Drosophila melanogaster: one gene and its partner. The protein of the gene in region 1 interacts with the protein of each later gene in a pairwise test. Each region holds a gene or a part of one and is shown in the gene's direction. Other genes may lie near its edges.

Region 1 (16,384 bases):
TACCCATCGTCGTCGCACTAATTAGGCCACCAGAATTGCATTAGTTTTTCGCATTCGGCACAAATAATTACAAATTGCAGTGGTGCACCGAAAAAAAAAGAAAATAGGTAAGCCCAGGCATCAAAAAGCCAATTGAAATAGTTCAAGGTTTTTAAAAAGGCGCGATGGTGGCCCATAATTACTTTCAATAAGTTTTGGCCACACAAACCATAGTGACCGGTGTGCTCGAGGAGACTTTCCCTGTCAGCTTTGATTTCATGGCTTGCCACATTTTCCGCCAAGTTTTTCCCATTTTCCCGCACTATTGTGAGCGTCTAGTGGCATCTTAATTAAAACGCTCTAATTGGTTATGTCTGAGAGTCGAACAAAAAGGCGAACTCTGCAAGTTTAACACCCCTTTGTGGGTCACTAAATAATTCCCAATTAAAAGTAAAGTCCACTCCTTTATCACAATCAAATTGGGAATTCAAGAACTTTGCAGCTTTGGCTCTTTTGAAAATGAAAAAAAAAAGAAGAAAACACCCATTGACTTCAAGCTCTTGGGGCATAAAGAAGATGTGACTCAATAGTATGAATATTTAAGCATGCAACAAAAAGCCGGACTAACACAGATAAAGTTGCTAAAACTTTCGGACAACAAAACTAACAACCGTACTAGGACTTAGGTGGAACAACGACCCACCGACCCACCGACTTTACCAAGGAAAATGGCTTTAGCATAATGCATAATCATTTAAACAAGGATATGCCTTGAGTTGAGCTGAGTCCTGCAGGCCGGCCGGGCATTCTGACACAACCCGGTGCAGGCAAGTCCGGAAAAATGCCTTTTATGGCCAATTTGAGCGGGAAAAGCTTGGCCCGCAGCTTAAAGCCAGGCGATAAGAACAAAGCAACCGAAAAGGTGAGCATCCAAGGACACTTTAAGCGCTCTCCTGCGTCATCCTGGCATGCCAGGTGAGCCCTAGTTGTGCTCCAACATTTTCGTATCTTTTTGGCCAATGTGTGCCTGTATTCCGATGCGGGCCCAATGCCCAGTAGTGCTATTCGCAGGAATATATTATCATTAATTTCGAATTATGAAAAAGTGGCGACGCATTCAACGAGCTTGGGGCTTTGAGCTAGGCTACGAACAAAAAATGGTTAAGGGTTAATATGTTGGCCAAAGTTGTATCCCTTTAATACAACGAAGTGTTAAGCATCTGAACTAAATGAAATGTTCTCCTTTTTTTTTTTAGCTTGGTCGTGTCCTGCGCAACTTCAACATCACAAAGATTAGCGATCTGGAGCTGATATCAAATTCCACCGATCGCCTGGACATCACCTTTCACTTCTTTGGCGTGAAAGGTGACTCACAGCGTATCCGGGATGCCATCACACGGATGGTGGAGCGCGGCAGGATAGGAAACTTCACACTGGTGGCGAATTTCCATCACTTCGACGAGAATCCTCCGCTCGGCTTGCTGGTGAGTAGCTAGTAAAAAAAGCATTTACCAATTGATTCTTACGGAATTCTACGTTCGAGGCAGACACTCGTAGTGTTTTATTTATAGAGCTCTACGCTGTCCTATTGAAATTTGTGCACAAATAAATTTTATATTTCACTTTGCACTCTGGGCACATCCATCAATCGGAGGCATTCCATCATTGATTTTCGCCGAATGGTATTTTCATTAATTCGCATCCGAGCCGGACCATCTCGGCTATTAAAAGCGTAATAAATATATATAGGGCCACCTACCCACATGGGTGGGTCACTACCATCCATTTCCGATACATATTAAACAATAATTTATTAACTATTGAGCCGTGTGCCGGAATAAAAACATAATAGCCAATGTAGCAAAGTGCCGTGTTAATAAATATGCACATAAATATGTCAACAGTGTGGCACTTGACACTCGAACCGAAAACGGCAACGAAAATAATTATTTATTAATTGCGGCCAGTTCGCCCGAACAATTGGACTCATCAGAGTTGGCCGGCAATTAAGTGGCATTAACATGACGAACAAGCCGCCAAACCTCAGTGGTATATCCCCCCCCCATCCTATCCCACCACTGCCAAATGTTTGACGGACTGGCACCCAAAGGAACACAAGCAATCCCAAACCGATGAGCTCAAAACCTCGAACCGAAAACCGAACCACAGCCATCCTGTGTCTAATTAGTGTGACATTGTCTCCCCTTTCGCAGGAGCTGACCGTCAATCAGCCGCAATCAGGAGTCCGCGAGGCCAGCGAGTTCATCATATCCTGCACGGCCCAAGGCTCATCCCGGATGCAGTTCCAGTGGTTCAAGGATGGCGCTGTGGTTAATGCCAGCAAATCGACGAGGTGAGTGAACTATATATATACATGTCGCAGCTGCTTATCTTCCACAACCAGCTCGAAATGCCATAAACTTGCTGCCCGCGTAATGGAATATGGAATGAGAATGGAGTAGTGCCTAGAAAACTGTGAAACGGAGTCTGGAGTTTTAATAAAATAGTATAGAATCGAAAGAATATGGCAAAAATCAATGTCACACTCGGAAAGTCAGAAACGGGTGAAGACGGGTGGAAATCGCGAGGGATGACTCTCGTCACAAGTGTTCAATTTGACTTTATGACTTTTACACATCAATAAACATGACATAAAAACGCCAGGCGGAATAAAAATGAAATGGCCAAAAAGGATAAATAAGTCAGGGCAAAGATAAAGATTTGTCAGTGGCCATGGACGAAGGACGGGGTACAAGTTGGTAAGTTGCTAGCTGGGAACTGGAGGCTGGCTGGGATACTGAGTTCTGGACCAGACCGAAACCTAACCGCAGTAAGCCTAACCGAATGATTGATCATAAATCCTACAGAGTGGGCCAGCCGGAACACATGTGTTGGCCAACATATACGAATGGCATGCCCATTCCATTCCGGAATGCCTCAGACTTCCGACTACAGGCTCCACAACCCCGCAATTCAGATCCACTTTCGGATCCACTTGGCTGGCGGGTAGTGTGGGTGTATTACATAAAAAGCATATGGCCGTAACTAACGAGGGGCTGTTACTTGGGCGACTTGGCAGGGGTTATGAGCAGCTTAGCCCTACCAGGAGCAACACCACCCACTTTCCGCCCGTCATGTTGCCTTGACAATTCGCCTTGCAGCCGAAAGCACCACCACAAAGCTCAAACTTTAAATGTGTTGCGTGAATGGCAAACGAGCGAAACGGAGGTCCTTGGAAAGGATTGGTTAAATGAGTACGCGGTGCGCAGGGCGGTGCAGATGCCGATAGAATTCGCAATTCATTAACAAAATTTTAAGCCTTGGCAGGCTGGCTTTCGCCATTCTGGGACAACGCGTTTTTGGAAACTACATGTCACGAAACGTTGCCAAAAGTTGTTTTTATCTGACCAGAAATTTAAATTTCCATTCTCTTGAAATCTAAAAATATCTAAAATTTCAAGAAAATGCGCGTATAAGCTGTTTGGTTAGGAAAACATTCGAAATGGATCGAACTCTTTAGGAATATAACTATTATATGGTAAATTGTTGTTTTTATCTTTGCAACAATTTAACCAAATATAGTTTGTATTACTTGTTATTCAATCGGCAGATGGCCATCAAATTGATAACGATGTGTTCTATTTTTATGCGGTATTCGAATAAAGGATTGTTCATCCGAATATTACCTTTCAAATAAATAAATGTATGGCCCCCATTCCCGCAAATCGATAACCAAATCTATTCTCGGAGTTCAGTTTTTGTTATCTAGTGAAGCCAACTATGCGTTTTCCAAATGCCAACTGCTACATAGAACAATTCGGACCCTTCCATGGCCATTCCGCCAGCTAGCCCCATCCGATGATGATGATGGTGATGGAGGAGGAGGTGGTGGTGGTGGTGGTGGTGGGGATCCGGACTTATGATTACTTTTATGCATATTTGTACGGATCCCCCACATGTACATGGTATCCTTGTTTGCTGCAGGACCTCCACGTGGCTGGCAGACCTTCCATCAGTTTCAGTTTCGCCCAGTTTGCGTGGCCCACTCGGACGCATTGATGTGTAAAAAATGACTGCCGTACAAAGCCGCAAACATGTGTTTTACTCCACCCAAAATCCCCGCAAATGGAGGGTAGGCAAGTATTAGTAAATATTTTAACTAAAGTGAAGTGAGTGAAGTCATTCATTTGGACATTTACCAACTTTGCATTATACAAACGACTACACATTAAATCCGTCCGATGACTTTACTTTTGCGTACTAAAATAACCGGAAGTAAGTGAATTTTTAATGCTTGATTTCACCGCAGGGAGATGTTCACTTGGGCAAATGCTATTTATTATCGAAATATGGCCAATACTGGCCATCTACTGATTAGTTACCACCGATGGCTATTGGCAACCAATTGGCACATTTAGACAGTTTGCTTAAGGCACGTATAAAGTAATTGTGTTTAGACTTAGATAAAGGACAATAAATATAAGTATACATATCTAGTAACATTAACTACATTTTAAGAATATGAAGTTTCGAGCTTTCGGAACACTATCAACCAATCCGTTGTGGCCAAGTGTAACGAACCTTATGTTCAGATACAGATACCTTTAAGCCCGCAAACTGAGGCGTTCGGCCGTTAATCTATTGGATTGCCAGTCGCCGAAATTGTGACCCAGTTAGCAGATGTTTATCGCAAGCGTCGTAGGCAATAACCCACTTAATGAATGCAATTATTTTCCAATCACGGCACTAAGGCATCCAAAGCTGGTTGCCAAGAGGCCCGCAACCATGGCTAACTGGCCCCAAACTCCCAAAACAGGGGTGGCTTTGATTAACATGCCTTGGCGTTCCAATTGCCATTTGAAGGCGGTAGGTACACACACACACACACACATGTGTGTAAAATAATCAATGGCCACGGTCATTAATTGCGCCCCTAATCCTGTGTCCTTTGCAATCTGGGGCGAGGATTTGCAGGACTACAAGGCCGTTGGGCTGATTAAGTGCCACAACAGTAGTAATACAATTATTGAAGCAGCGGCTAAGCAAATACTTCTCATTAAGCCAACTTCGATTGTCTTAATTGTTGGATTTTACTTTTCAAAAATATCCTTAATCGCTTGAAATAATCGAGGTCCTTTTATTGTGCAAACTACACCACTTTTTGCTTACTTAAAGCTTGCGAACACCTTTAAAGTCTGAATTGAACTGAGTTCAAGACTGAAAAGCAGCCAACAAAGATCCATTTTTCCCACATTTTATTTGCCTAACAAATTCCAGCTAATTCGATCAACAGGAGCTTGCTAAAAACTAAGCTCTGTACGTTTCTCTGACGTCTTTGGCATCGATGTGTTATGTAAAAGCGGTGCACAATTTGTAGCCAGCAAACCAATTGACCTTTTGAGGAAGGAATTTAGATTCCTGCTAATATTAGCTTAACCCTAAGCACTTGCGTAATCTATATTTGTCCCAGCGCCATGAAGTGGAAGGGCTTGACTGCCTGTCAATGCAATTTCAAACCCATCTACCCCTTGGCCCCCATCCCCTTTTGACTTTTCTGCTTTTCCCTTGGCCAAGAAAACATCGACTTTTGGCTTGGAAGCTAACGAAACTGTTGCAGTCACTTTTGGCCGTGCTCTGAAAATTTGTCAAACTTGCTTAAAAGCCAAAGCAAAAATTCAATTTCAGCAGCCATGCAGCGCGAGCAGCCAAATTGCCTGACCCCAGCAGCACCAGACATAAGTAAAATATATATCGTATATATTTTACAAATTGGCTCAACCCGGGGCAGCAGTGGTACAAAAATGGCAGCAACAAAGAGGCAACAACTGTCTTGACAACGCAACGACGATGTCGTCGTCGTCGTCTAAGGACAATGGAATACAGCTATCGAATACAGGGTGCAAATCGAGAGGAAGTGGTTGTAATTTGGTCCCACGAGCCTTAAGGATTTGGCGGGAAATTTAATCCGACGCAGCTTTCATTATCTACAGCCAATCAGAAAATTTGGTTGCTTACTTTTGCCATATTTTCCGTAAAAGATAGCACCCTGTTAACAGCTGTTTGGATAGCACTGCAGTCACACTGAAAAAAAAAACGCACTAAAAAAAGTGTATTTCAAATTTTAAAATAAGTATACAATTTTAACAAGGACTTTTGCCACTCTTCATGGAGTAGCTTTCGATTTTCATAGATATCCATGCAGTTTCTCTTAGTGCATAAGTATCCAATGTTGCTGTGGGGTCACGATTTTCATTAGTTTCATTTGCCACAATGCGTCTGCCATACTCGTCTGCCGAGTTCAGTTGCTCGGATTTGCTTTGCTCTTCCCGTGGCGGGGTGACAATGGTACAATTAGTGACACCATTCGCCATTCCTCCAGCACTCGGTTTGATTCAAAATTTTTGGCATTATCTCATAACTGGCTCAACTCGCGCTGTGTGCACTGTGCTCTCCTTGTCCCGTCTTCCGATTCCGGCTCCTTGGCGCCGCTTGTGCAATAAAAGGACGAAGCTCCGCGGCTGATTGGACTGCTGGTGGGACGGGTATTGATCAAACAGTTCGAGTTGTCGGACAAGGCTGAGACCCACTTTCCCGGGAACGCGTGTCCCACTGAAGGAACGCGATACAGTAAAATCCTGATATATGTAACTGATTGAGAGTTATCACTTAGTAAAAAGCCATTTACCTGTAGCCAACTTAATTAAAAGAATATCTTTTGGTTTACGTGCATGTTTCTAAATGATCCTTTCCTGCATCGAATTGGAGTCGCACCTACTGAAGAGTCACTGTACTTAAAAACGCCATTGAAGGTGGAACAGAAATATGCTCAGTTAGAGTGGCTTTGGTGCCAGGTACAGTTGTGCAGCTCCAAGTTCCAGCGATTACCATAACCTCATCCACTCAGTTAGCTTGTAAGAGTCGAACCGGGCGGAGGGCAACGGTTTTTTTGGCCACATAAGCCAAAAATCAACACGCTTGCTCCGTGTGTCCAACGAACCGGAGTCCGTGCATCGGGAACCGGTGGCGCAGTCATGCCCATCCACTGGGACTGGGATTGGGAGCATGATCACGAGCATGGTCACCATCACTGGCAACCGCCGCGTCGCCACTGGTCCACCGGGGAGTCCAAGTGCCGGCAGAGGCACTACTATCTCTCCCACGACCTGGACGTATGTGCGCGGGACTTTCACTTGCGGATGGACGACAGTGCCTGGTGCCATGGATCCTGTCTGGTTGGGCGAGTGGTCATAGAGACCGGCACCGAACCGGACTCCCTGGGTCGGGGCACCTTCAAGGTGGTGCTGGACGTGCACCACTTTCAGATCTCTGAGCTCACGGTGAAGGCCAAAAACAGCGACACCGTGTGCGTGGAGGGCAAGCAGGCGGATGACCGGGCGGAGAAGGGTCAGTTGTGCATCACTCGCGAGTTTACGCGATCCTACAAGCTACCACGGCACTACGATGCCACACAGGCACGGGCCACCTTCTCTGCGGACGGAATACTGATGATTACGGTGCCAGCACCACCGAAACTGGACGACGTGGAGCGCGAGATCGAGATTGAGCCCACGGGCAATTACTTTGGCAGCGTGTCCGATCCCACGGCGCCCAAGGCTATCGAGCAGGCGGATGTGGACGGCGATGGTGGAGAGGCTAATCCTGCTGGCACGGCGATGGACAAATGAAGCCGGCGACGTCTGGCGGTTGCGCGGCGGTTCCGCTTGCTCATACCAAAGTGGAGGCGGAAGTCCAAATGCGTTTAGGCCGCCAGAGGCAGTCGATCGGTTGGAGGGCAGTTGCAGTATATCAGACGGAGAGACAGTCGAAGCACATTCCAGTCACCTGGCGCACATGCACGTTGGAGTTTTTCGTGGAAACCAAAATCACTCGGATTGTTCCTGGGTTCCAGCTTAGATAGCACGTAGTCCTTCGTTCGAAACGTGAGCAAATATGGCGAAGTCAACATTTTGTAGAATTTTCTTAAGGTAGCTTCAATATAACGTTTAAGAGTTCATATCCGCTTGTGATTTTGTTTAACGCCAATAAAGGACTTTATCAGAAAACAGGAGAGTTTTGAATATTTCCAGATTTTTCGAAGAAATAATTTAACACCTTTAATCTTATCATTTATTTAAACGGTATTCTGTTTTATTTTGTACTGTATTTTGCAATGGCTGTTCATTTTCTTCGAGCTTAATTATTAAATATAATGAAGATGAACATTTCACTGGAAAATATATTTACATTTAATGAATTCTAAATCAAATCGGATCAAGGTATTTAAAGATAACAATGTTTCATTCCACCAAGTTGTTATTTCAAGTACAATCCGAATGAAAATATCCTCCAGCTAATCGGGAAAACAAACCCAAATCAGGGATAAATCATGCCTCTGGGAAAACTTCAGCTCGAATTCAAAACCCAAGCGAATTGGATTTCTCGCTGCTTTTAACTTTCCTGTCACGCAGCTTTTGATTAGCGTCAAATTTGAATAAAATTCACTAACACCTTTTGTGTTTTTCTTGTCTGTGTTCGTATCCTCGGGCACATGGCCCATAAAAAGACAATAAAGAAACCCAGCTAGTCAGCTAGAAGTGTATAATAGACGTAGGCATACGTACATATGTATTTTAGTTTGGCTATCGACCCAAGAAAATTCTAAAAAAAAGGGAATAAAACATAGCTACAAAGCTCTTTTCAAAAGCTATGAGATACATGAAAAGATTTGCAATTAAATGTCAGATGAAATGATTTACTATCTGCAGAATAAGTTTAAAAATAGTTGGGTAACAATCTTAAGCTCCAACATATTTTGCACCAAAAAAATAAAAGGCTGGGCACTTTGGGGCGTGTGACCCACTTCATAAGAACCCAATCAAGCCTTCGACCTTCTCCCAAAATCGTGGGCTACTGCTCCGTTTTTGATTCGGTCTTGGTCCCTTGCAATTTAGCCGTTGAGACACGTTTTCCCGTTACGATTCTAATGAAATTTGCTACATCTTGAAGTGAATTGTTGCAGGCCGCAGCGCGGCAGCTGAAAAAATTGCCAATTGAGGAGACGAGGTCGCGTACACTTTGTCATCGTTTTGTTTTTATGCGTAGTTGCGTTTAATAAAGTTTTTATATGGCGCCCTCGACTAAGAGGGGAATCCCCGAACGTAGTGCCCATCCTGTCGGATGCCCGGACGGACTGCCTGTTTTCTAATCTAGTTACGATGCCTGCAGCTTTAAGATATTGGTCGGGGGACTCACTTTCCGGGCCGTAGGATATTCATATATTTACGAGTATGGCGAAGGACGCGCGATAAAATATTCAGCAGAAAAGCAACTTCACAATTTCAATTTCCCATGCCATATTGGTGACGGCGGGGACAAACCAAAATAACACAACGATAATAAACACCTACACACCCATTTTATGAACTCATAAAACACTCCGATGGAATCGGAATCGTATATTTTATATATATATATATATTGTGCGTGTGTCCGTGCTTAAATAACTGGATGAGGCCTACAGCCTTGTTGTCCATAAAAACGCACCCATATGCACCTCTTCCGCTCCCGGGATCTAGAGAAAACATTGACCATCATCGACCATCGCCATGGGCCATTTCCATTGTTGTTTCATGGTTTTTATATTTCCCGGTTCGCGACTCCGCAGAAATCGGTATGCGGCTCACAACTAATTTTTATTTTCTATGCCCTTTGATCCACTGCGGGCGCCGATTGGAATGTTCTGCTGGCAACTTTTCAATCACACACTACCACTACTAATCAAATATCCCCGGGGATTAGCCAACTTGTAGATGAGTTGACGGTGTGCGTGAAGGACGGGACACCTAATTACGCAAATTGATGCGACATTAGACGGTAACGGAGCTGGAAACTGGAGCTCTCTAGGGGGATAGAATACTGAAGGACTTGTTTCCGCCAGGGGATCTTAGACGCCGACTGTATTGACATGTAGGAATATATAAACAAACATTTCGCATGCCGAGTTGATTTAATGGTAAATTGAAGCTTAAACATTTAACGGTGTCCTTTTCTATCCTTTTATCAAAGTGCAATTTGTGAATGAGCATAGTAACAACTTAAAGTTATTTTATACTTGCTTTAAAAGCTAGCTAATACCCATAAAGTGGTTTCAAGTATAGCACCTGCCTTTGTTTCGATCATTTGCCCATGTATCGAACTATTCGTGAATAGTGCTAAGTGGGCATTACTGGCTGGAAAATCCGTGATTTTGGAGCATGTACAACAGAGTTTGCTGACATCGTAAGACTTCGCCACCAATGCCGACATAATTGGTCCATTGAACCTTACAGCCAATGCGTTGTTATGAGTTGTTTGACCAGCAACCAAAGCACATCAGCTCAAATGAAGCGCAGATTGGGGATTCCCCCCCATCAGGGACTAGCATCCTGCGGACTCGCATCCTGACAGCCGACTGGCTGTAGTTGTATTTACAGGACACGCACACAGACACGCGCACACGCCTACGCAAAGGCATTTTGCGGGCCATTTGTAGCGCTTTCAATTCCGGGAAGCGGAAAAGGGTGCGGGTACTTGGTACGGGGATTGCGGAGGAGTGGCAAATGCATTTTGCAACCGCAGCCGACAACGGAACGAAACGTTTCTGCCCCGGGAGCAAATTCAGTTGCCGGAGATGGTTACGTGAGGCAAATCGCATTGGGAAAATGCATCATTAACAGGAATGAAGCACCGATCTGTGGAGGACCGAAGCACGAAATACCCGAACTGAAAATGCCATATGGTTATAAGCTGATGAATAATAATACTAAAATAATAATAAAAGTTACTTAGCCACACTATAAGTTTATATTACTTTCGCAACTTTTGCCAGTCCTGCCAGCCTGGCATAAAATAAAAATATCTTCAAACAAATCCAAGCGAATGTCGTTCGAACTTTAAGATTATTTGGCACACAGCTTATGGGCTATTGTGCAGATAATCCTGCCCAGATCCAGATAAATACATGCATTAAGGACTCGGATATGCTTCCTTTGTTTGGGGGCCTTTCACGCAGTATGCGTATATCCTTGGCAGGGAATCGAATTGAGCACACACCATGAAGCGAATCGAATGGGCTCCAGCCACCAACGACCCAAATCGAATAATGTTCAGCTGTTTCGCAGCGATATTAGATAGCAACCAATTCAAAAGAGAGAAAACCACCAGCTCCTTTGGACATCACGTACGCATCGCTGAGGTCCTAATCCTTCGTCCTGCGTTGCAATTGCTGCAACTGCAGTTCCACTTTCGGCGGGCAATGCAGTGGCATTAGTGGAGCTGCTGCGGCTTAGCCAGCTTCCTGGACGGCCAGGACGTTCAGGGTGACCAGGACAATGCAGGACGTCAATGTGCTATTGTGCCAAAGTCGATGTCAATCCTGCCTGGGCCCATTTGCTGTAAGCGAGGCCAAACAGGACCTGTGGCCGCGTTGCTGTTTTTGCGGTTGTTGTTAGCGAGTCCTGCGAGGACATCATAGTTGGCACTGCTTCGCTGTGGCTGCTGCATTGCATTTAAGCGTTACGCACTTCCGGTTGGGAGTGTTATTACTTCCGTTGCCATTTAATTGATTTTGAAGGTGCGTGTTTGGCGTTTGCCCATGAGGAGCCGCAAAGGAGTCCTTCCGCCCGTTGCCATTAGTAAATTGTAGGTTAAGTGCTCTGCATGCCCAAAAACCCCAGGCCCATTCCCATTCCCATTCCCATTCCCACTACCATTCCCATTGAAAACGCATTTTTAGACGCCTCTACACCTGTAAATAGCTGTGCCAAAGGCACTAGGTACGCCAGTGGGTGTGCGGTTAAGGATGCGGTTTTTGGGCACTTTTTACCGCCATGACGTCAGCGCTATCCATGCGTAAAAGTTATTAGTGAAATGCACTCAGCCGGCGGAAGAAAGGCGCAAGAAGAAGAAGATGACGAGGTGGAGCGAGGGAGTCAGGCGGAAACTGCTGATGTTTGTTGGCCACGAAAACCTCAAACAGCACTTAAGTTGTTGCCAGCTGGAAGGTTTTCGGTTTTCGGCTTTCGGTTTACTTTGCTTAGTGCTCATGGAACGCAATGCTGTGCTGCCACCGCCACTGCAACCAGGTGCAATCTGCGATTTCCAGCTCTCCGGAGGATTATGAGCCATGCCCGTGAGGAGTCTAATAGGCTTACCGTGCATTTTCGACAGTTTGCAGAACTTTTGCTCAAGCCGCTGAATTTAAATTCGCAATTACCCGATTCCACATCGCTTGTCACAGACACGAGCACTGCGATTCTCGCTAAATTGAATCTCAGATTATATATAAAGTCATGTAAGTACGTAAGTGAGAGTAGAAGTCATCTCATCAACCAGCCCATTGATTGATTCCCGTTGGCAACGTTTCATTCTCCCAACATTTTTGAGCCAGACGCATTCGCACATGCAAGTACGAGACTGCAAACCGACCCATTTATCCACAAAACCAAAAACTATTAACAATTTTAGCAACAATGCGTCGTTGCAGCCGCATTCAGGGCATTTGGAAAAACATTTGAAAATGAAACATGTTCCCGCTAATTGACTTCGAACCGCAGCATCCGCGATTGTTTCCCCATTAGCTATGATTTCTTTCGCCCAGAAAGCCATTGGCTATGGTATAGGTGGGGGGCTATGTGGATATGGGGTCGTGATAAGTGAGCTGCTATTAGTGTGTCAATTAGCGGGCTTGCTGCATATGATCCAGTTCACTTGGCCCGGGCGGGCTCCATGGAATACAGCTGTGCAGCATATGGGGCATATTGTATTCGCCATTTGGCATTTGGCTGGCTGTCACGGGGCGTGAGAATTAATGCACGACTGGCGGTGTGCGAATCTGTTTCAAGTACTTTCACTCGCAGAAACCGAAAGTGGAGAAGTGCTAATTAGCATGACTAACTAAGGCTTTCATCTGCTCCTTTGCAGAGAAATCTGGACCACGGTCCTGCCGCCCGAAACCAAAGATGTCTACACCGCCATTCTGGGCGTGACCAAGGCGAGTCGGATCGACGAGGGCGTCTATAGCTGCAAGGTAAGTTATAATATAATCATATCTCAGAGATACTTATTCTAAGGTAGCACTGTTTGTATTCGAACTTTAACATAAATTTAGCAAATTTTTTATAAATTCTATAGACAATTTATTTCCGTCTTTTGTATCACTTTTGTAACTAATTAAATTCTCTATGTGACATTTAAACATTAATAAATTAGATACTACTTTCATTTTTGTAAAACTCGCATAGAATTCGTAACTAGGCCAACATTGATTCTGGCCATCACTTCCGCATCAAAGCGTTTTAAAAAATATCCATGTCAATCCGGGCTGATGATCTGAAAATGCCACTTGGTCCTTTGGTTTTTGTTTTTTTTTACAGCGATTACGGTTCCCCGGGCACTTTTTCAGGCCTCGTAGTATTTTCATCTGACTAATCAGTCTAATTGCCATATCATAACAGCACAGAGCTATTCCGACTGTATTTAGCGCGTCTGGAAAAAAACGACATGCCCACCCAGAAGGCCACACAATTACATTTGGCTTTGCTGCGTTCTGTTCACGGCTGTGTTCTTCATTTTCGCTATAACGTTGCTTTTAATTAGACTAATTAAAATATGTTGGAGCGACGAGATAGAAAGGAGTGCGATGGCGAGCAATGTGGCCATCCATTGCACTTGAATGCTCTTTCTCGGGACGGGCCAATTAAATTTTAATCTATGTTATTAAACATTCTTTTGACTGCGGTTTCCGGGGATGAATTTACGGGTGCCCAAAGATGATTTTACGTTCCGGATTCACTCTCACTCGCTTTCTCTCCCTTTTGGCTTACAGCCCAGTACTAAATAAGAGTTTTAAATTGTTCCGGACGATTAGACCCAAAACTGCCCTGCTTCCTGGGACCCCAAATCCTGCAGGACCCTTCTTTATGGCTTAGGTAATAACATATTACGCAAATGGCTTGTAAAAAAATATTGGACCGCCGTAAAGGAAGCCACGTGAAAAGTTTCCCAAGAAAAGTTTGGACCACACAAGTACGTGGACACATGACCAATTCACTTGGATGCCAAGTTAGTTATAAATCAAATGGTAATTTGATTGCCTGCTCACGGTAGATTGTAATAAAATGTTTCCCGTTTCATGTGTATAAATCAAATTTAGAATTGTTGCCAACTCAATTGAACTTCGGCATTAGCATAATGGCTCTTGATTTAATACGAAACATTCTGAAGTAATTTACTTGGATTTAAAAAGGCACACGAGATTACTTTAAGTCGGCATCGTAATCAAAAGGGGAAGTGCAACCACAAAAAGCGTCAGCATCTGTTGCACCACCCAGCTGGCATTTCTTGGAGGCCCCTGGACCCATTGTATTTAGTGCCTGGTCCGAGGCTCTCCAGTTCCAGTTCCAGCCCAAAGGGGGATTCCGCTAAGTTCTTTATGGGGGAGCCTACGCTTTGGCCGCTTTGTGCCTTTGGCGAGCCTCGTGCCGCTCACTTATTATTGTCCTGGCTTCGCCGTAATGACGCAACAGCCAGATCAAAGGCAGGATGCCAGGATGCCAGGCTGGCAGGACGAGGCGAAACGCTCGGCAGTTGCAGCAACAACTGAACGATAATCACGAGGAGGGCCGGAACGGAGCTGAGTGTCCGAACTGGGTCCCCGAAGGTCGATTGTGCCCACGTCTCGCAGCTGTTTGCTGAAAACTCGAGCGCATGAATCCTTTTCAATAACACCGCCTCGGGGTCCAAGTCAATAAAGCGCCTGCCAATGCCGCCACCACGGCCCATTATGAGAACTTGGGGACTTGGATGCATGTCCACGTCCATAAGTTGTCCACAGCAAAAACACAAGAATACAAGAATACACACGAAAAACCCAAACACTTCTAATGGGGGCGTGTGCCTTTGCGCATTTATTATTTATGTATTGATATTAAGTATACGCCTTGTTGCAATTAATTCATCTGCCTTGGGGGAAATCGGTCGTCTCGGGTCCATTACGTGCACAATGGCCCCAAGCGGTGCGCTGTCTTTAAGCCAGCTGCATTAGCCCCACCGCCCTAAGCCATTTCAGTTTTCACAGGACACGACTGGAGCTTAAGTGTTCTCTGGATTATAAGTGTACCGAAGTGAAGGATTTGTTCGTCCTATGAAGTATGACTCAAGTACGGTTTGAATTGGAAAAGGTCCACTTTGATTTTGCCACAATATTAAAGCAATAAAGTCAAGATTGTTTCTAGTTATCGCAGTTAAATTTGTAAACCTCAATGGGCCTCAATGTCAATATCCATTAGCCAAATAAATGCTGATGGTTGCGATATAACCCATTTTATGAACTATTAATTCCGCTGGAGTGTTGTTCATTGATCGGCCCAAAGTGTCGTGGCCAAATGTTTAGCCATTCACGGGGCACAATGTGTTGTTTTTAACGACTTGGCCTGTTAATGAGTCGCGACTTATCCGGTCCAATGAAATACCATTTAGCCATAAAGGCGCTCCTCGTTGGCCAAGTTTTGCAGTCGGACAGCGTCGCAACTTAATGAGTTAATTGGCATTTGGATTTTGTGGCCTGGCCAGGATTTGTTGACGCTGCAGAGTCGTAAATGCCACTGCAAATCCCAACGACATTTCCCGATTGTGAGGACTACAAAAAGAAGCACAGAATTTAAAGCCGTCGTGGCCATAAAAAAAAAAAAAGAAAACCAACTAACCTTTGGCTTACGCCAAGAGTGTCTCGCTGTCTATTAAATATTTCCGGATCGGCTGAATCCAAGAGCCCGAGGGCCCAGATATCAGACGAGGATGCAGAAAAACCGGTCCAGACCAGTGCGCGATACCTTCACCTCGGTGACAATGATGCCGCCTCCTCGTTAGCTGTATCGTTTTATTCACATTTTTCTTTTTCTTTTTTTTTTTTAAATTTGAAACGGAAGTGGGCTGAGCATCTGCCCATCATCATCATCATCATCGTTGACGCGTGGCGACGTCTAGGTTCTCCCACTTGAAATAACTATGTAAGGGGGCACAAAGTAATAATGCTAATATCCTTGCTGGAAGAATAACTTAACTTATGTTAAAATAGATCAATTTATTTCATTTTATTTGGAACTTAAAGTAGCAAGTATATAGAACTATTTATCCATAGGGGTATTTCTTGAATGCAAGTATATATTAAAACATTTTTTGCCGAGTGTAGCACTCGATGCTTTCCCAAGGGAGGAATGTGCAACAACGGCAGCATCAAGCAACAAAGCAAGTTTACAATTCGTTTGCTAGCCATCCGCGTGGAAATAAATAAATAAATGCAGAATGTTGCCTCGAACCCACACAATCCTACTAAGGCCTTAAGTAGCCATCTTGGCCAAGCAAGTGC
Region 2 (17,172 bases), on another chromosome or scaffold:
GGTAAAAAGTTTTTAACTATTAAAGGAATTTATTATTTTTCTTGCCAATTCAATGGGCATACCAAAAAATGTTGAAGTTTCTTCCTCGCAATACTGGGTATCTGATAGTTGAGTAATTGGACTTCTGCTATTATTCAAAGACGTCAAGTTAATTTCATTACTCTGCTCTAAGATCGAAAGGTATACGACTTTATTTATGATCATTAAACCAGCCTATTGATTTTGTTCAGTGTATGGCCTGCTGGTGCTGCTGTTGCGCGTTATTGTAGTTGTCTCATGTTGCCGGCTGCCTCATGTTGTTCTTGCTGCTGCCGCCACCCAGGGAGGGTGTAAAAAATCTCACGTCGGCAACGGTTCGTCGTCATTCGTCGTGGGTCTCCGCTCGCTGGCAGTCGCACATCCGCTCAGTTGTATCGTGTTATCCGTTTCGCCAGCAAGGACCTCAGTCGCAATCGCGCACAGTACCGAGTTCGTTCGTTTGCAATCAGACTGCAAATATTTGTATATTTGCTGCAATCAATGGGGATGTACATATGGCGGCGAGTGGTAAATGTGAGTGTGCGAATATGTGAGTGGCCCCAAAACTGGGATGAATCCTTGCCCAGGCTATTCGGAAAAGTTTGCCATTTGCGCGCGAGTGTGTGTATCCGTGTGCGTCCCTTTTTGTATCTGTGTATCTGTAAGCGTTGTATCCGTATCTGTGCATGCATCTGTATCTGTAGGCAGTGTGCTCGACAAAAAACGATTGCAAATTTACGCTGACGCTGCAGCAGAAGCAGTTCGCTTCAATGGAACTTGACATAGTATGCCACCCAGTCGACGCCCAACCCCACCTTTGGGTTATATATGCACATGTGACGTTGTATTGTATTGCATGTGTTATTTTTACCACCGCAAAGTGTCCTCGACACACTCACACATTCGCCTCGTGTCCTGCAGCGTATCCGGATGCCACAGCACGCCGTTCGCCCTTCACCCCGTTCGCCACTGCAGCCATAGTTTCATTATTATTATTTCTATATAGTAATGCCCCAAGTGCATTTGCCATTAAAATGCTATGCATTATCTAGATGCATGGCTACTCGTGAAAAGCCACGCCAAACTAATGTCGCTTTTTAATGCCAGACTTTGTCGGTGCCTCGCTAATTTTTCCAAATGATTGTTCAAGCCGAACTGTGGATTCAATTAGATGAAATCCGCTAAATACAGCAAACGCCCAAGTCGAAAAAGCTGTAAAATGGGGCATAATCGACATTTGATAGCTGGCAAAATACAAATGAAATGCAGTCCACATGTACTAACATAAATATTTTTTGAACAGACATTTTATCGCCCTTCCTGTTATTAAAAAAAAAGTCTTCTAGCACTTATCATTGTTTGAAATAGAGGCAAAACTGGCTTTATTTAACACAATTCCCATATCTGTAAACCCACATATGCGTAGTGCCCTTTAAATTCTAACAATTGTGTTTATCTCATTTACTCACATTCGACTATTATATTAATTTTATATTATTATTATTTATTTTTTTTTTTTTGTTTGTTGATGACTTGAAAAGTATGAATGATTTTGGAACATATGTTAGTAGAGTTATACCACTAATAATTCCACGAAATAAGTTAAAGCGCCTCGACTTTTCCAAAAAATATGTTAGTCAGCCTGCATCATTCTGGAACAATGTTCTTTTGAGTTTCACTGCTCAAAAAAAAATTTTTTTTGTTAGATTACCGAAACAATTTTATCTAGAAATCGCGAAGAAACGATTTTGAAAATTCAAACCTTATGGAAGGATATTTCAATAGATTATATCCACAGCTTGGTACAGTCTGTACCAAAACGTCTTTAAAGGGATAGAGAGGGTATATTTTTTATTAATTTGTTTTAATTTTTTAGTTGACTTTTTTTTCTTTTCAATTTATAACATTTAAATAATTTGTCCAAATACTTATGCCACTGCTAAGTTGTTATCTAATTCAACTACGATAGTCAACCTATTTACTAAAATTATCTAAAAATTTTGCTTTAAGTAAACAATAAGTTACAAACAAATATATTGAATATATTTCTTGTCCAAATACTTATGCCCACTAGTGTATATATTCTTGATCAGGATCTATCTGTTAAGTTATTAAACCTAAAATCAAGAAATTTTAATTTATAAAAAAAAGAAAATATTCCTTGGCTGCAAACATTTGCTTAGTGCCGAACTACACCTGGTCTTCCAGTGCTGGGCATGAATATCGCATAATTATATTTATTGTAGATAGCTATGAAAACGTGTCATGGATTAACACAACAAAATATCTGATCAATGTTTGCCACATGAGAAACTGCAAAAAAGTGAAAACTAATGATCGTAGTCGTACCGAGTCGTGATCGATGAAATAATCGCGGCATTGGCGAAGGCGAATCACAGATCCATCATGTGGCATCATCAGCTCTATTTTCCCATTTCGGGCTCCCAGACCCCCCAAGATCCCCGAGATCCCCGAGACCATCCCCGCTCCCACATACCCATTAGCCTGGTGGTGGGCCTGGTACCCAAACCTATTTCTGTGCTTGGGCTACAGTCGCATTCGCGATTCCGTCGTCATAGTGCTCGGACCGCTGGCGCAAGATTAGCAGATTGGCAGAACGATGTACCTGGCGCTTAGCAGACGTTGCATTTCCATTAATTGAATTCGCAGGCCGCCACCCCATTTCGAACCACCCAAAATGCGCCCATCCAAGGTTGGCAAACAACGTGTTATTTATATGCTTGCTGGCTGGCAAAAAAAGAGTGCTTTAATTGTTTTGAATGGGAAAATGTATTCAAGTGCGTTGCACGTATTCAAACGTTTGTTGAACCGAAAATCTGCACGTGTATTATTATAAACAATAAACAAAAATGTAAACTAGTGCAAATCGGTGAAAACCAAACAATGTGTGAATAAAGATCTATAATCCTTTAAAACACAAACAAGTACCTTATATCTAAAAATAAATGCAACTAAATCCCTTATGAACTCAAACTATATATACATATATATATTATACAACTGAAAGATATTGAAAACGAAAAATCACAAGATTATGTACTCTGGAGAGTGACTACAGAAAAAAACATTTGTAAATCAGCTTTGAAATGCAAAGTTCCGGAATTCGCCAATTATAAACTCATCAGCAGTATCATATTCTTTTTTGCATGTTTTGCAAAAAAAAAAAACATAATTTATTCATTGTTTCCACAGAAAATGTATGCGACACTGAAAACTGACCTTTGTAATAAGTGGAAAATGAGTTTTCCAGCTAACGAAAAAATTTGCATCCGTCAGCTACTTACATATACATATGCATTGTACTTTAATTTCAGTTGCAAAAACGACAATAATACGCCAATGAATCTAAAATCACTGCAATACTCATTTAACAAGTAAGTCAATCAAAAATTATTAATTAGTTCACGCGACTTGTGAAACTTATGTAAATAAGCCTTTCTTACTTAGCTTACAAAATACAAGTTAATTTGTTGTTTCACTTGTAGAGTAAAGGGTATGCTAGACTCGTTGAAAAGAATGTAACAGGTTACTCACACACTTTTAAATAATGTTTTGATTTTGTATACCCTAGAAGCGAGTATACCGATTTCGGTCAGCACTCGCTTTGCTACTTGCATATCTCTCTGGCGCTTCACCATCTGCGTAATGGGTATCTTATAGCCGCAACACTCGACTTTTAGCTTACTTACACTCTTATTGCTTACTTCGCTTTCAACATGTGTATTTGTTATTATAATTAGCGTGACTTTCTGCAAATGTAGCGAGAGCTTTTACGATCAGCTGTTTTCTTTAATGATTTTAAACCCAAATAATAATATTTCTCTAGAATAAAAATATGAAAATAATAAATTTGATCAGCAATCTTTTCAATAAAAGTAATTTACGTTCATTTCAATTTTGCTTAAATTAAATTTTAAGTTTACCATTAAAGTAAAGTAAAGTCGGATTGATCTAAACTAAGTGATTTGATTTATGATTATAAATAGACGAGAGCCTAAATGACATGGCAGAGAAACGTCTATTGCTGGATCCATCCACCTCAGAGTCGGAGGAGCCGGAAGTACACATGACCCGACGGGCAGGAGGAGTGCTCCATGCCATCCAGCACCGACCACTTCCGGTTAGCAGGAAATCGGTGCTCGGACTGCTGGTCTCCTTCACGTTCTGCTACTTTCTAATCGGCCGGACCGGTTGGGTGAATGTCCTCGATCTGGATGTCCTGCACTCGGATAACTACGTCACCGTGCAGCATCAATCGACGGTGATGGATGGTGAGTCCACCGATGGAATGACCATATAATTATTTTATTCTTGTTGTATTGGTTTTTATAGTTTGCATGCCAGTAATTATGATTTGGGTATTCCCTTTTTGTTTTTCCCTCCTTATGTTTGTGCTTGCACCCGTCCAGTTGAACCTGAGCCCATTACTGAGACTAATCCATCTGTCCCGAAAGGCTTCCTCGTGTACAGCAACTCCTGCCGCATCATGGAGGTGGATCCGTACAAGAACGAGGTGATGCGGCACTTCAAGCGCATCAAATACAAGTCCTGCCAGAAATTGACACCCCTGACGCAGGTGAAATTCGAGGCAAAGTCTCAAAAGTACCTGCTCAGCATCGATGGAGCGGCCTTCGGTCGCTACCCGGTGGGCAAGCAGCTCCATTGCTGCTACATGTCGGTGCAGCGAGTGGACGAGATGAAGGTCAAGTACACCAAGTGTCAAACCTTCAAGGGAAGCATCCTGCTGCCCGATTCCGCCGAGGGCATCATCGTTAAGTGCGATTCAGGTGGCCGTCAGATCTATATCAATGGCCATGCGACGGTTCCCGTCAAGGAGGCAGTGCAGCAACGATTACGAATGGCGTCCGAGGCCGACGCCAAGGGCTATCAGAGACCTCCGAGCGTCTTGATGCTCGGCATCGATAGCATCTCCCGTGTTAATCTTATCAGAGCCATGCCCAAAACGGCTCAGTATCTCTACGACAACGGATGGTTCGAACTGGCGGGCTATAATAAGGTGAGACTGGTACATGATATGGAAGAACTTGAGATTTCTTATCCGCATCCTGTCCCCAGGTGGACGACAATACATTTCCAAATATCATGGCTGTGCTCACCGGCTACAATCTGCCCAATGCCATGCACGCGTGCTCGCCATTCGTGGTTGGTGGCCTGGACAAGTGCGACTACATCTGGAAGCAGTACCAGCAGAGGGGCTACGTGACCGCCTACGCGGAGGATGCCGTCAAGATCAACACTTTCAATTACCTAAAGAAGGGCTTCAAGAATCCGCCGGCGGATTACTACTTGAGGCCATATCTCTCCGCCGCCGAATCACAGCTGGATCACACGACGGTCAATGGTCTGGTGCACTGCCTCGGCTATCTGACGGCGGCGGAGCATGTGTACGACTATGGGCTGGAGTTCACCAGGAGGTTCCTTAACGAGACATACTTTGGATTTTTCTGGACCAACACGCACAGCCACAGTGACATTTCGCAGACCAGCAGTATGGACAGCTATATGGAGGAGTATCTGCGGAAGCTTGTGCGCCAGGGCACCATGGAGAACACGGTGGTGGTGTTCTTCAGCGATCATGGCATGCGGTTCGGACCGACGAGGGCCACCTGGTCGGGTCACTTGGAGGAACGTTTGCCGGCCATCTTTATTTGGTTACCCCAACACCTGCGTCGCTCACATCCACAATTTGTGCGTAGCCTCCAGCTGAACAGGAATCGCCTGACCACGCCCTACGACCTACACCTAACCATGAAGCACATACTGGCCATATCCGGGCGCGCTGAAATGGAATCGTTAGGTCCGGCACCCGATTGCCCGCAATGCCAGAGTTTACTGACCCCCGTCTCGCCGCAAAGGAGTTGCTCCGATGTGGGCATCGCGGATCACTGGTGCACCTGTTGGGAATACGACACCATATCGAGCACCTCGAAGGAGTCGCGGATGCTAGGCAAGCGTGTGGTCAGCTATCTCAATAACTATGTGGCCGAGTTCCGAAACGGCACCTTTGCCAAGCTATGTGCCCCCCTCTCCCTGCACAGCATCAAATCCGCGTTCCGGGCGCATCACAACGCCCTCGATCCGGATGAGGTGCACACCTATCGACTGATCTTTGTCACGTCGCCCAATAAGGGCCAGTACGAAGCCACGTTGCGACACAATCACACGGATGACTCCGTAAAGGTGACCGGATCGGTGAGCCGATTGAATGTCTACAGCGGAGAGGCGGATTGCATGAATGATTTTGCTGCCAAAAAATATTGTTATTGCCGAAAGAAGAAGGGATAGATATATCAGGATTATAACTAAGGCTAGTGCCCAAGTGCCGTTACTCAGATTACGATCTAAAAGTACAATTAACTTAATACTATACAATAGAAATTCTTCCTCTCTCTATGCCTAAAAGTATCTGGATTAGCCCCCAGTAGAAAGTATACTCAAAATTGAACTCCCTACGCTTCAAAGACTTTTGTGATTACTTTACACAATTATAACCTCTTTATTATTCTTGGGGAGTTTCAGACACACACTTGTAAATGATTTAGATAAGCTTTGTTGTCGCCCTTGTAAATAATTTCTCCCTGCTCCAAGAGACTTTTGCCAAGAAATCGTTTAGTCAACTTTACATATGATTAGTCGTCGTTACACTTATAATTTAAGGTATTAGTTTAGCCTATAGTGATATTGTACATTCAAATAAAATAATGTTAATAATGTCATTAAGGTGTGTTTTCAATTTGCCATTGAATTCAAAAAGTATGTACATAAAGCATGACATGTTGATATTCATATTTGGTCAGTTGTGGCGCAAAACTTCCAGGTGCTGACCTTCTCTTTGAAACTATAGTTGCCCAGGAGATTCTTAAACGCCTTAAAAAGCCTTGTTAGCGGACTATTGCGCTGCAGTCCGAGGAGATCTCCTTGAAGAGGCTGCACATCCAGGCGCAACTCTTTGTAATCCTCGCTGGCCTGCAGCGTGAAATAGCCGCGCAAATTGACTGCGTACTGCGGATTTCCCATTCTCGTCTTCGTAAACTCAATCGTCTGCTGCAACTGGTGGGCGAAGAAAGATTGACCGGCGCCACGTTGGAAAGAGCGTCCTGTCCAAGTGTCGTAAGAAATGCTGATTAGCCACTTGTAGTGTTTCGGCTCCTTCGATTCTTTAAGTTCCACATTCAAAGCATACAGTTGAGTTAGCACATCCTTTATAGTGTCCACGTAGCAGATCAACCAGTAGTAATATATGCTCTGATCGTTCTCCGTGTTCTTGACCAGCACAATGGAGCGCAGGCATTTGACATCGTTTGTGGTGGGCGTGATGACGTGTGATCGCACTAAGGGCGGTGTCCCACAAACTCCGACTTCGGCGACTTTTGTTTCTTGTGTCTCATCGACGATTGGCGGTTGCACATGGGCGTTTTCAATTTTTTGTTGCTTTCGCGGCGTAGCCCTTTCTGATCTTTTATCTGCCACTATTTTGTCGGCTACTAACTTATCCGCCAGGCCAAATAATAGGTAGTCGTATAGCTTCTCTGGTTGCGAAGTTAGTTCCTGATCGCTGCACGCTTGAGCTGCCAGGACTAGGCATTGTCTAAAGTAACATAAATTTGAAATGGACACTGATTTGGCCACGTTGCGACTGAGCTCGAAGGGATCCTGTACGCACATGGCCCTATCCAGCTGGAAAGCGTCTGGCGGCGCACCTATTGCATCATGCACGAGCTTTTGTTGCTCATCGTACTCGGGAAAACCTCCCGGCATGCCCAGTGTTGTCTCCTTGTCCACACAGCCGCCCAGAAACGGACTCAATACACTTTTGTCAAAGTTGACAGTGCAGTAGTATATGAAGAAGTTTTTAAGTAAATCCAGCGTGGTGAGCCGTGCTGGGATCGGCGGCGTTAGGTCCAGGCTGTAGGCATAGTTAACGCCCGACAAAATAACCGGTGGACAGAGTGACTGGAGCTCTTTGACGGAGGGCACTAGTCGATTCACTTGCAAGTTAACGATGATCAAGGATATTAAGCAATAGCTTGTCATGCCGCCATGACTAATCAATTTTAGCTTCTTGGCCCAAATTTTCAAAAACAGGCAGAGCTCGCGTATCCGCTCATTGCGAAACATCAGTTCGCCCACAAATCGGGAGTTATATATGCTATTCGGATTTGACATATTGATGTCTATGTTGAGTCCGGTGAGCTGATGCTTACATCTAATGATGGGCACGCTGGCATGACGAATGGTGAAGACATCCGCAAAGCATTTGGATCTTCGTAAAAAGTGTGAGGTCTTGTTGTATAGCTGATTATGGAACAATGGTGGCTGGTTGCCGTTGGGCTCCAGAAACAAATCGATGTCGCTCTCTGCGGAAAAGGATTCGGATTATGTGCTTTTCTTGTACTGGTGATCACTTACCCTTCAGTGCTAAACCCGTAACCAGTGAACCAAAGGGGAACACCCTAACCCTGCCCCTCATCTCCTTCTCTATGCAGTTCCGGACGTGCCCGAAGCAGGTTTTCATATTTTCGAGATCACAAGCAAAGAAATTCAATACGGTGCACAAGTGCCCGCCGGACTCGGACCATTCGAGAGCCTCCCGCAGCTCTTGACGCTCGGATTGGCTTTGTGCGCTGTTAAATAGCTTGGTAATGGCGTTCAATCGCTGTCGCAGTTGCTTTTGTGGCTTGCTGGCGTGCTTGATCAGCTCGTGGGCAAGGCAATCCTGCATACTCCGGAAGGGAGCAGCGCATACCATGCAAAGCACAAGATTACCGTCACCATCCCCAGGCGGAGAAGTTGATTCCGAGGCAGGGGCCGGCATTTCTGTAAAAAATCGTTTTAATTACTGCTTAACGGCCAGGTTTATTCTATTCAATAACAATGATCAATTTGTAAGGGTTGCCCCGTTTTCTTGTCCACTACACGCTGAAAGTAGGAACTATGTATGAAGCCTTCAATTCCCGGACAGAGCAGTACATTATTGCTGGATCGATAGATGGGTATGCCGTCCGCCAGCACCTTTTCCACGTTTAGATATATCAAAATCTGGCAATCGCTGCGGAATCCACTCAGAGTGGAATTGGTCTCATCGCTGCATGCAAAGTGCACATGGTTGCGGTTCATCCTACTTAGCCCTTGGCTTCTAATTGCCCCCCAATGTCTGTAATAGGTGCCATGAACTGCCAGGGGTACCTGGCTCACATGGGTAATATTCTCGAGACCGCCAGCTTCGCCTTCCAGCACCGCCAATGAGTGTCCCTGATTGGCGCGAATCTCATGGACTCCGAGTTCTGGATTCCAGCGAAGAGTATATCGTTGCTTGGCATCCGCGGCGGCAATCTCCTTCAGTTTTTCTAAGGTGAAGCACAAGTAGCGTGGGTGCTTCTGCAAATCGGGAACGCTAACAAATCCATCAGCACGGATCGTGATTCCCTCCGTTTTCGCACCGTGCCGCAACAGCCAGGATAGCTTTTTGCTTAGCTGCGTATTGATTTGCTGATTCGAGGCCATTGCCTGCGAAACTTACTTTTATTTACGCAAAACAATGCAATATGTTTAATTGCGTTTCTATTAGAGGTGGCGATGCATCGACATTTAAGACTATCGATGTTTTTAGGTTCATCACTATTCGAAGAAAAAGAAGAAGAGCTACAACGCTACTAGAAACGAATGAATGAAATACTAATTTCAATTTCAATTATTTTGGTATTTCGGCACCCGTAGTTTCTATAACATAACAGTGCAGCGTAACAGCGTGCTGTTAAGTTTGAGGACCAGGCTGTTATGCGCAAATTGTAACATATGAAATACGGTAATCAGTAAATTTTATTCGAAAATTCTGAATTGTAGAAAATGCGGCTGTTAGTGCTCTACGGGAGTCAAACCGGCACCGCCCAGGATGTGGCGGAACAGATCTGGCGGGAGTCGCATCAACTGGGCTTCCAAGGACCCGTGCTGCCTTTCGACGAGTACGATATGACCAAACTTATTGAGGAGCGCCTCGTGGTCTTTGTGGTGGCCACTACGGGTGACGGAGTGGAGCCGGATAACATGAAGCTGGCCTGGCGATTTCTCCTGAAGCGCAGCTTACCCGCCCAATCCTTGCAAGGCATGCAGTTCGCGTGCCTTGGACTCGGGGACTCCAGCTATCCGAAGTTTAACTATGCCGCCAAGAAACTGAGCAAGAGACTACAGAATCTGGGAGCAAATAGCGTGTGTCCAGTGGGTCTGTGTGATGATCAGCATGACTACGGGCATTTGGGTGTATCCCTTAGCTGGACAAAGGATTTGTGGACAGCTCTGAAAGGCATCTCTGGTCTTGACGAAAGTAAACTTAGCAACAGCCACCAAACTACTGTAAAGTGGTCAGTAAAGGAGCTGCCTAAGGATTCCCAAATTGCTCCGATGGACAATCTGCTCTGGAGCCAAAAACAAACTGCCCACTCTTTCAAAATTCTGGATAACCAAAGAACAACGGCGGTGGATCACTTTCAGGATGTACGCTTCCTAAGGCTGCAGTGTCAGACTGAAGATCTTAGCTGGGAACCCGGCGATGTACTCGATGTTCAGCCGCAAAACAGCGATGAAGCTGTCCAAACATTCTTCGACCTTATTCGCGAACACAGCCTGAACTTCGATGAGAGCACTATAGTGGAGGTATCCAGTGCACATCAGGATATGCCCCTTCCCATAGCCTATTCCAATCCCTTAAGCCTCCTCCAGGCCGCCAAATTCGTTTGGGACTTGAGTGCTAAGCCACGGCAACGTTTCCTCGAGGTACTAGCACAGAATTGCTGCGATGAAATGGAAAAGGAAAAGCTGCTCGAATTCTCCTCCGCGGAGGGAATTGATGACTTAGTGGCTTATGTGAACAGGCCGCGTCGTAATCTTTTGGAGGTTCTGGAGGATTTCCGGCACGCCACCTCTAGCTTAACTCTGCAACAGCTCTTTGAGATGATGCCACTGATCCAGCCACGCAGTTTTTCCATTGCCTCGGATGTTTCCGCCTTAAGTTTGGACTTGCTGGTGGCCGTTGTGGAGTACAAAACCATAATGCATACTCCACGTCTGGGCTTATGCTCCAACTGGCTGAAGACTTTGAAATCGGGTACTGAGTTGAGCGGAGTTGTCAAAAGAGGAACCATGGTCTGGCCAAAAGACTTAAGTATACCACTTATAATGGTAGGACCTGGCACAGGCATCGCTCCATTCCGTAGCATTATCCAAAACCGATTGTATGCTCAATCAAAAGGTGCCACAATTGGTCCCTTGGTTGTTTTCTTTGGCTGTCGGAACAAAGCTGCCGATTTCCACTTTGGAAATGACTTCTCCACCTGGACCGATGCGAAACAGGTAGAGGCCCATACTGCCTTCTCGAGGGATCAGGATCAGAAGGTCTATGTCCAGCATTTAATCGCCAAGAATGGTGCTCATCTGGCGAGGCTTATAAAAGACCTGAATGCCTATATCTACGTGGCTGGCAACTCCAATAATATGCCAAAGTCTGTCAAAGAGGCCTTTATCGAGATACTAGATGGCGATGCCGATTACGTGGAACTAATGATAAAACAGCGACGATATCAGGAGGAAACCTGGGCGTAACACCGTATTTATTTGCGTATAGTTCCTATTTGTACAGTTTTGGACGGAAATTATATATTTGCACACACTTCTTATGTCGATTTCAAAAGTCTTCCATCAGCTTTTCGGAGGATGTGTGACAAAAGGGACAGTGACCTTTTTGCAGCACTTGCAGCTCAAAGTCCTCCGCATAGAAAAGCTAAAAAGGGTTACTTAATATACGAAATGAAATGATGTGGTTTGTATAACCTTACCAGCAGACATTGAGGACAATAGGTAACCTGAAGATCGGGTAATATATTACGATAGTACACATTCCGCACATTCTTTCCCCTCCGTTTAAGAATCAGCACATGATTGGGATCTATGGCACGCAGGCCATTGCGATCCAAGCTCAAAGGCAATGCACTGGCCACATCCTCGTTAAATGGATCCGAATCCTCGGCGTGCTTTGCAGGAGCCAGCAGCAAGCGCTCCGCCTCGGCATCAGAGATATCCACTTCTGGATAAAATTGTACTAGGGGTAGAATTTCTAAAAAGAGGCATCATCATTATCAGATATCTAAGCTAATAGACAAAATTCCATACCGAAGGAAACGAAAGAGAAAATATAATCCTGCCGGCAAGTGGGACAGCAATTGCTATTCAAATGTTGACTGTAGTTGGAGCACTTGTAACATAGTGGCAAAAGCTCCTCCGGATCATTGAAGCCACTTTTGCAAGCCTTGCTATTTAGAAAATTTAGCTGAAAAGGTACTTCATAAGCATATCATTTGGATGATTAATGTTTTCACATCACTCACATCAATCTGCTCTTGGACTCCAGCTGGTGGCTTCAACGACTGCAGTCTCTTGTTAATAAGAAGGCATAACTTGTTGGCCTGCAAAAACTTAGCTTGCTTGGCCAGAGTGAAGAGAACCGAACTGGAAGATAGGATTTCTGTCGATTCACGTTCTACTTTTGCGATTTGAGCTCTTAACTTACAACATGCTGACACCTTTGGGGACACCTTTGTGCTCCACTTCGTTTAGTATAAAGCGGCTTACGTTAAATAGGCTAACTGGGGAATGTGTGGTGAATGGTTCTTTCATATATGAGTATATGACACTGTAGGCGTAATAAACCTTGGCAACACGTAAATGATTTTTGTACTCCGTAAGGTGGTGATCAACAGGATTTTGTTCTCTATAAAACAAAAGTTTTAGAAATTAAGAAGTGCACTGATTGTAATATTTCACTTACTCCTTGGCGTGATATACATCTAAATGTTGCTTGGCCAGCAGCCAATAAAAGTAGCTCGCATCCAAGTAGCGCTCCTCCACGATGGCCGTATTGCTCAGTTGCTTAAGCAAACGATTGGCTTCCTTGGTGCGTCCTGCCTTTATGTAGGCTGAAAAGTAAAACTTTTATATTAAATAAACATAACAAAAGTTATAAACTCACCCTGATGCGCCTCTATAAACTGATCCGTTTCGGCCAGCCATTGCCCATGCTGGTAGTGCACCGTGGGCAGAAGTTCCGGCAGCGATTCCGCCAAACGAAATGCTTCCGGCCAGTCGCGTACCTCGATGTGCAGTTGCACCACCTGGGCTTCATCGCCCAGCTTCTTGAAAATCTCAGCAGCCAGGGGAAGAGCTTTGAGGGTCTTTAGGTTCTGGGCCACCGATTCCAGGGAATCGCGTTCCGTAAGACTCAGTCGTCGTCCGATATCGTAAAGCCTGTAAGAAGTTAGGTTTATTATAAACGATATGTGTGCAATTTTCTTGATTTCCTTACACATCGGCCCATCCTTGCTCTGCGACAATATCAATGGCCTTCTGATTTTCGCCAGCTGAAAGCAATAGTTCCGCAGCAGCTCGTGGCTCCTTAACCGAATATGCCCATTCCGCTCGCTTGCGTACCAGTTCCTTCTTCTCCTGGTCGGTGCCGTCCTTAATATACTCCTGGGCTAAATCGAACATACGTAGATCTGTGTACATTTCAAGTGCTCTTGAGGACTGGCCGCATTTGAGAAATAGACGAGCTGCCTCCTTGAACTTGCCGGCAAAGGCGCAATTCTCTGCGAGAAGTACCTCCTTAGGAACCGCCGATCGCTGTTGCTGATCTCGTAGCTCACCGATGAGTTTGAGCCACGGAAGATTCCTCACCTTGACGTAGGCATCGCGAGCGATATTTATGTGCAGTGCCTCCAGAGCGGATTGAGCTAATCCCTCCCAGTCGCTGGTGGTCACGCCCAGGCAGGCGACCTGGTAGGCTTCGCTGAAATAAAATATAACATCTTTTATTAGGAGATTCCAAGCAGAATTGGAATATGTCTTACTCAAACAATCCAGCTTCGATGAACTGCCACATGGTGGAACCGAGAGCCAAAGGCGTATTGTGCATAATATTTCCGCGCAGGCAGAAGGCAGTGGCTCCGCAAAGCCCCACCACCACGCCATGCATGTTCTGTGGTGCCCTCGGCGGCAGATTCCCCACGCGAACGCTTAATCCGCCTGTTGTGTGGGTATAGCAGAGCATCGAATCCAGGTGCGTGTTCCAAGTGACGCTGTTTACACCCGTATCCTGGTACAAAATTGTATCGTTGATTACGTCCCGCACAACCAAGCGACCCACATCGTCCACAACTGCGATCTTGCTGCGCTTCGAATTGATATCCAGGCAGCGAACCGCTGACACCGCAGTGGTGATGAGCAGTGGTAGTGAGTTGTTGAGAAAGATTCGGAACACTTGGCCGTTCTTCAAGCCCACCATTAGTCCTTCTCTTCCCACGGGGCCACCGGTGACTTTGATGTATCTTATGAACGAGTCCATGATCCACTCGCGCTGCAGGACACCCATGAAATCCAGACATTGGAGACGCTTCTCCTGGCACAGGACAATGTGACGGCCACAAACAACCAGCAAGCTGCAGTCGAACTTTTGCTGGATCTTCTCGCGCACTTTATAGTGCATGGGTTGATCCTCTCCAGAGCTCAGCTCATAGAGAACCACACGTTCCGGCAACTGAACCGCCAGTCGATTCCGATAAATGGCTATTTTCTGAACTAAATCTCGACACTTGATGCGCACCTTTTGGCCAGAGATCAGGTGCTGAATGATCACGTCGCACATGTTTTCCCGGAAGGCATAGCGCTCGCGGTAGAGGGCATGCACGGTACTAGACGCAATGTTGAAGCAGGCCAGGGTTCCATCTTGACACCCAATGGTGTAGGATTGACCATTGGGATGTAGGGCAACTGTCCAGATCCAGGTGTCAAAGGTATCGCCCAACGTACCCAGCCGAATGCCCTCCCTGGTGAAGAAGTGTAGACCTCCAGTGCAGCCGCCCACCAGGCAGAACTCCCCATTGGGAAAGTACTGCAGGCACAAGGGATCAAAGCCCAGGGTTCGCTCCTTGCCAATCATCTGGCCGCTCAGAGTGTGAAAGGATAGCGTTTGGCTCCAGTCCACCACACCGATGGTGTCCACACTGCCAGGACCGCTGGCCGGACAACATTGGACACTGAAGACGTTGCTGTTGGGCCCACCAGGCCGATCGATTCTCCCCTTCTCCTCGCCCAACTTGTTCCTAATGGATATGGTGCCATTGGCCAGGCCCAGGATCAGGTACTGTCCATCATTGGTCCACGAGCAGCCATTGACACGCGCGGATATCTTGTACTTTTGCACCGCCTTCTGATCAGCCGACCAAAAGGCAAAATCCGACAAGGAGCACGAGGCCAGGTGGTGCGAAACAGGATTGAAGCTCATGCACTGTATGGAGTCACCGTGCCTATGAATGTAAATATATTTTTATATTTATATAAAAAACTAGAATTTATTGCAAGTGTGCTGAGAACTCACGAATACTTGAGCAGTCCCTCAAGCTGAGGTGACCACACGATGACCATTTTATCGGAGGCTCCGCTGGCGAACCGCTTGCCATCCCGCGAGTAGGCCACACAATTGACCGTATCCTTGTGCGCCTTCAAGGTGTTCAGCAAGGAGCCATCGTTTGGATCGTAGATGAGCAACCGATCCCCCGCAGCCACCACCAATTGGCTGCCATCGGGTGCGTAGCACACATTGTGGACACTGGAAAATTGGGTTTTGCAAATACCGTTATGGCGTTATAGCAAGCAACAGGTTGTTGTTTTCCACGAATGAGAAAGCTTTACCTGATCTCATTGTCTTTGCTATTGGGAAACTCTATGCGTTCCAGCCACTTGAGAACACCCCTCATTGTTGCAGAAGTCGAATTGGCTAATCCTGCATAGTTGGTAGAAATTCCTAAATGCAGGTGCGTTGTTTACACACAGATTCCATGGCAACCAACCACAACAAAAGTTGGCGTCTTGGCTGGAGATGGCAGTTTGGCGGGTTTTTCCGTTAGTTTTGGCTTTTAAAACTAGGACTTGACTAATAAACTAGTACTAGTAGTAAAAACAATTTATTTAAAACATAGCCTCATTATCGTTTACCTAATTGTCTAAGTGTACAATATTTAAAAAAAGTTTCTATTACTATCTGAAATGACCGTTATAATTTTTTTTTTCGTGCAAAGTAGTTGGCAACGCGGTAATTGACAGTATGACCAAAGCCAGTGTGCATAAATGCCTAGTTTCGTCAAAACAAAATAAAATAGAATTGTTTTTTATATCAGAACTATTGTTTGTTTTTAAAGGATTTTAGCTACATATACGCTTGAAAATGAACAATTTGGACAGTTCATTGCAGGCGCACAATAAATTGGAGAAGGTATGTCTAGTTGTCATGCTCAAAACCTCCATACTTACCCATTTTCCTCATAGGAAGCCACCAATTTAGCTCTGCTGAAAGATCGAGTGGATAAATACCATGATCTGTCCACGCAAATGTCCAGTATTCTAACAATCTTCGAGAAGCGCCTGGGAAACCTGGAGCAGACCATATTGCCCGTCTACCAGGAGACGGAGCAGCTCCAGAAACGGCAGCAGAGTATGAAAATAAACTCAATGGGATTTCAAAAAAAAAAAACTAATGTGTCACCGCCTCTTTTTTTTTTTAGATCTGGAAGCTACTCTCAATTGTCTGGAAAGCGTCCTGTCCCACTACGATGTCTCCCAAGAGGTCTGCCAGTTGATTCATCAAGGCCCGGTGGAGGGAAACATCTCGGTGTTCCTCGACGCACTAGCCAAACTGCGCGATGCCAACGATTACTTCCGGCACAACAATTCCCAGAGCGTGGAGCTGGAGAATGTCACCAGTTTGTTTAACACCGGCTGCGAAGGCCTGAGTCAGCACTATAGTATGCTCCTCAAGAAGCACAGTGCTCCGCTGAAGCCGGTGGAGTTGCTGGATCTTATCTACATAGAGGACGATTCCAGCGATGAATACACCTCATTCCGGCAGCTTTCGCAAACGACGCGCGAGGAGCTGTACACCATATCGCACTGGTTGGAGCAAAATTTAAGGGAGTACACAAACATCTACGCGACGGAACGGGGCGAAGTGGTTCTCCGATCGCTGCAGCTGCTCAAGGATCACCAAAAGAGCAACAGTTGGGGTCACGAGGC

The links.
Region 2: the proteins of CG13133 (region 1) and CG13667 interact in a two-hybrid assay, tested with the Drosophila melanogaster proteins (one large-scale study listed by BioGRID).

Annotation. Positions count from the first base shown.
Region 1 is NT_033779.5:10,082,862-10,099,245, reverse strand, and holds CG13133 (uncharacterized protein), read left to right. Parts: upstream 1-6,856; 5' UTR 6,857-7,010; coding exon 7,011-7,664; 3' UTR 7,665-8,038; downstream 8,039-16,384. Other genes in the region: CG44153 (uncharacterized protein), read left to right, coding at 1,236-1,463, 2,193-2,332, 12,940-13,045.
Region 2 is NT_037436.4:8,395,634-8,412,805, forward strand, and holds CG13667 (uncharacterized protein), read left to right. Parts: upstream 1-9,820; 5' UTR 9,821-9,848; exon of another isoform or gene 9,849-9,903; 5' UTR 9,904-9,906; coding exon 9,907-11,655; 3' UTR 11,656-11,721; downstream 11,722-17,172. Other genes in the region: CG7120 (uncharacterized protein), read left to right, coding at 4,043-4,310, 4,449-5,056, 5,116-6,345; mkg-p (monkey king protein), read right to left, coding at 6,844-8,417, 8,470-8,875; Tpt (tRNA 2'-phosphotransferase), read right to left, coding at 8,926-9,564; Oseg1 (outer segment 1), read right to left, coding at 11,738-11,833, 11,889-12,166, 12,223-12,379, 12,438-12,558, 12,620-12,820, 12,878-13,025, 13,079-13,353, 13,412-13,894 and 3 more; Exo70 (exocyst 70), read left to right, coding at 16,328-16,375, 16,429-16,594, 16,665-17,172.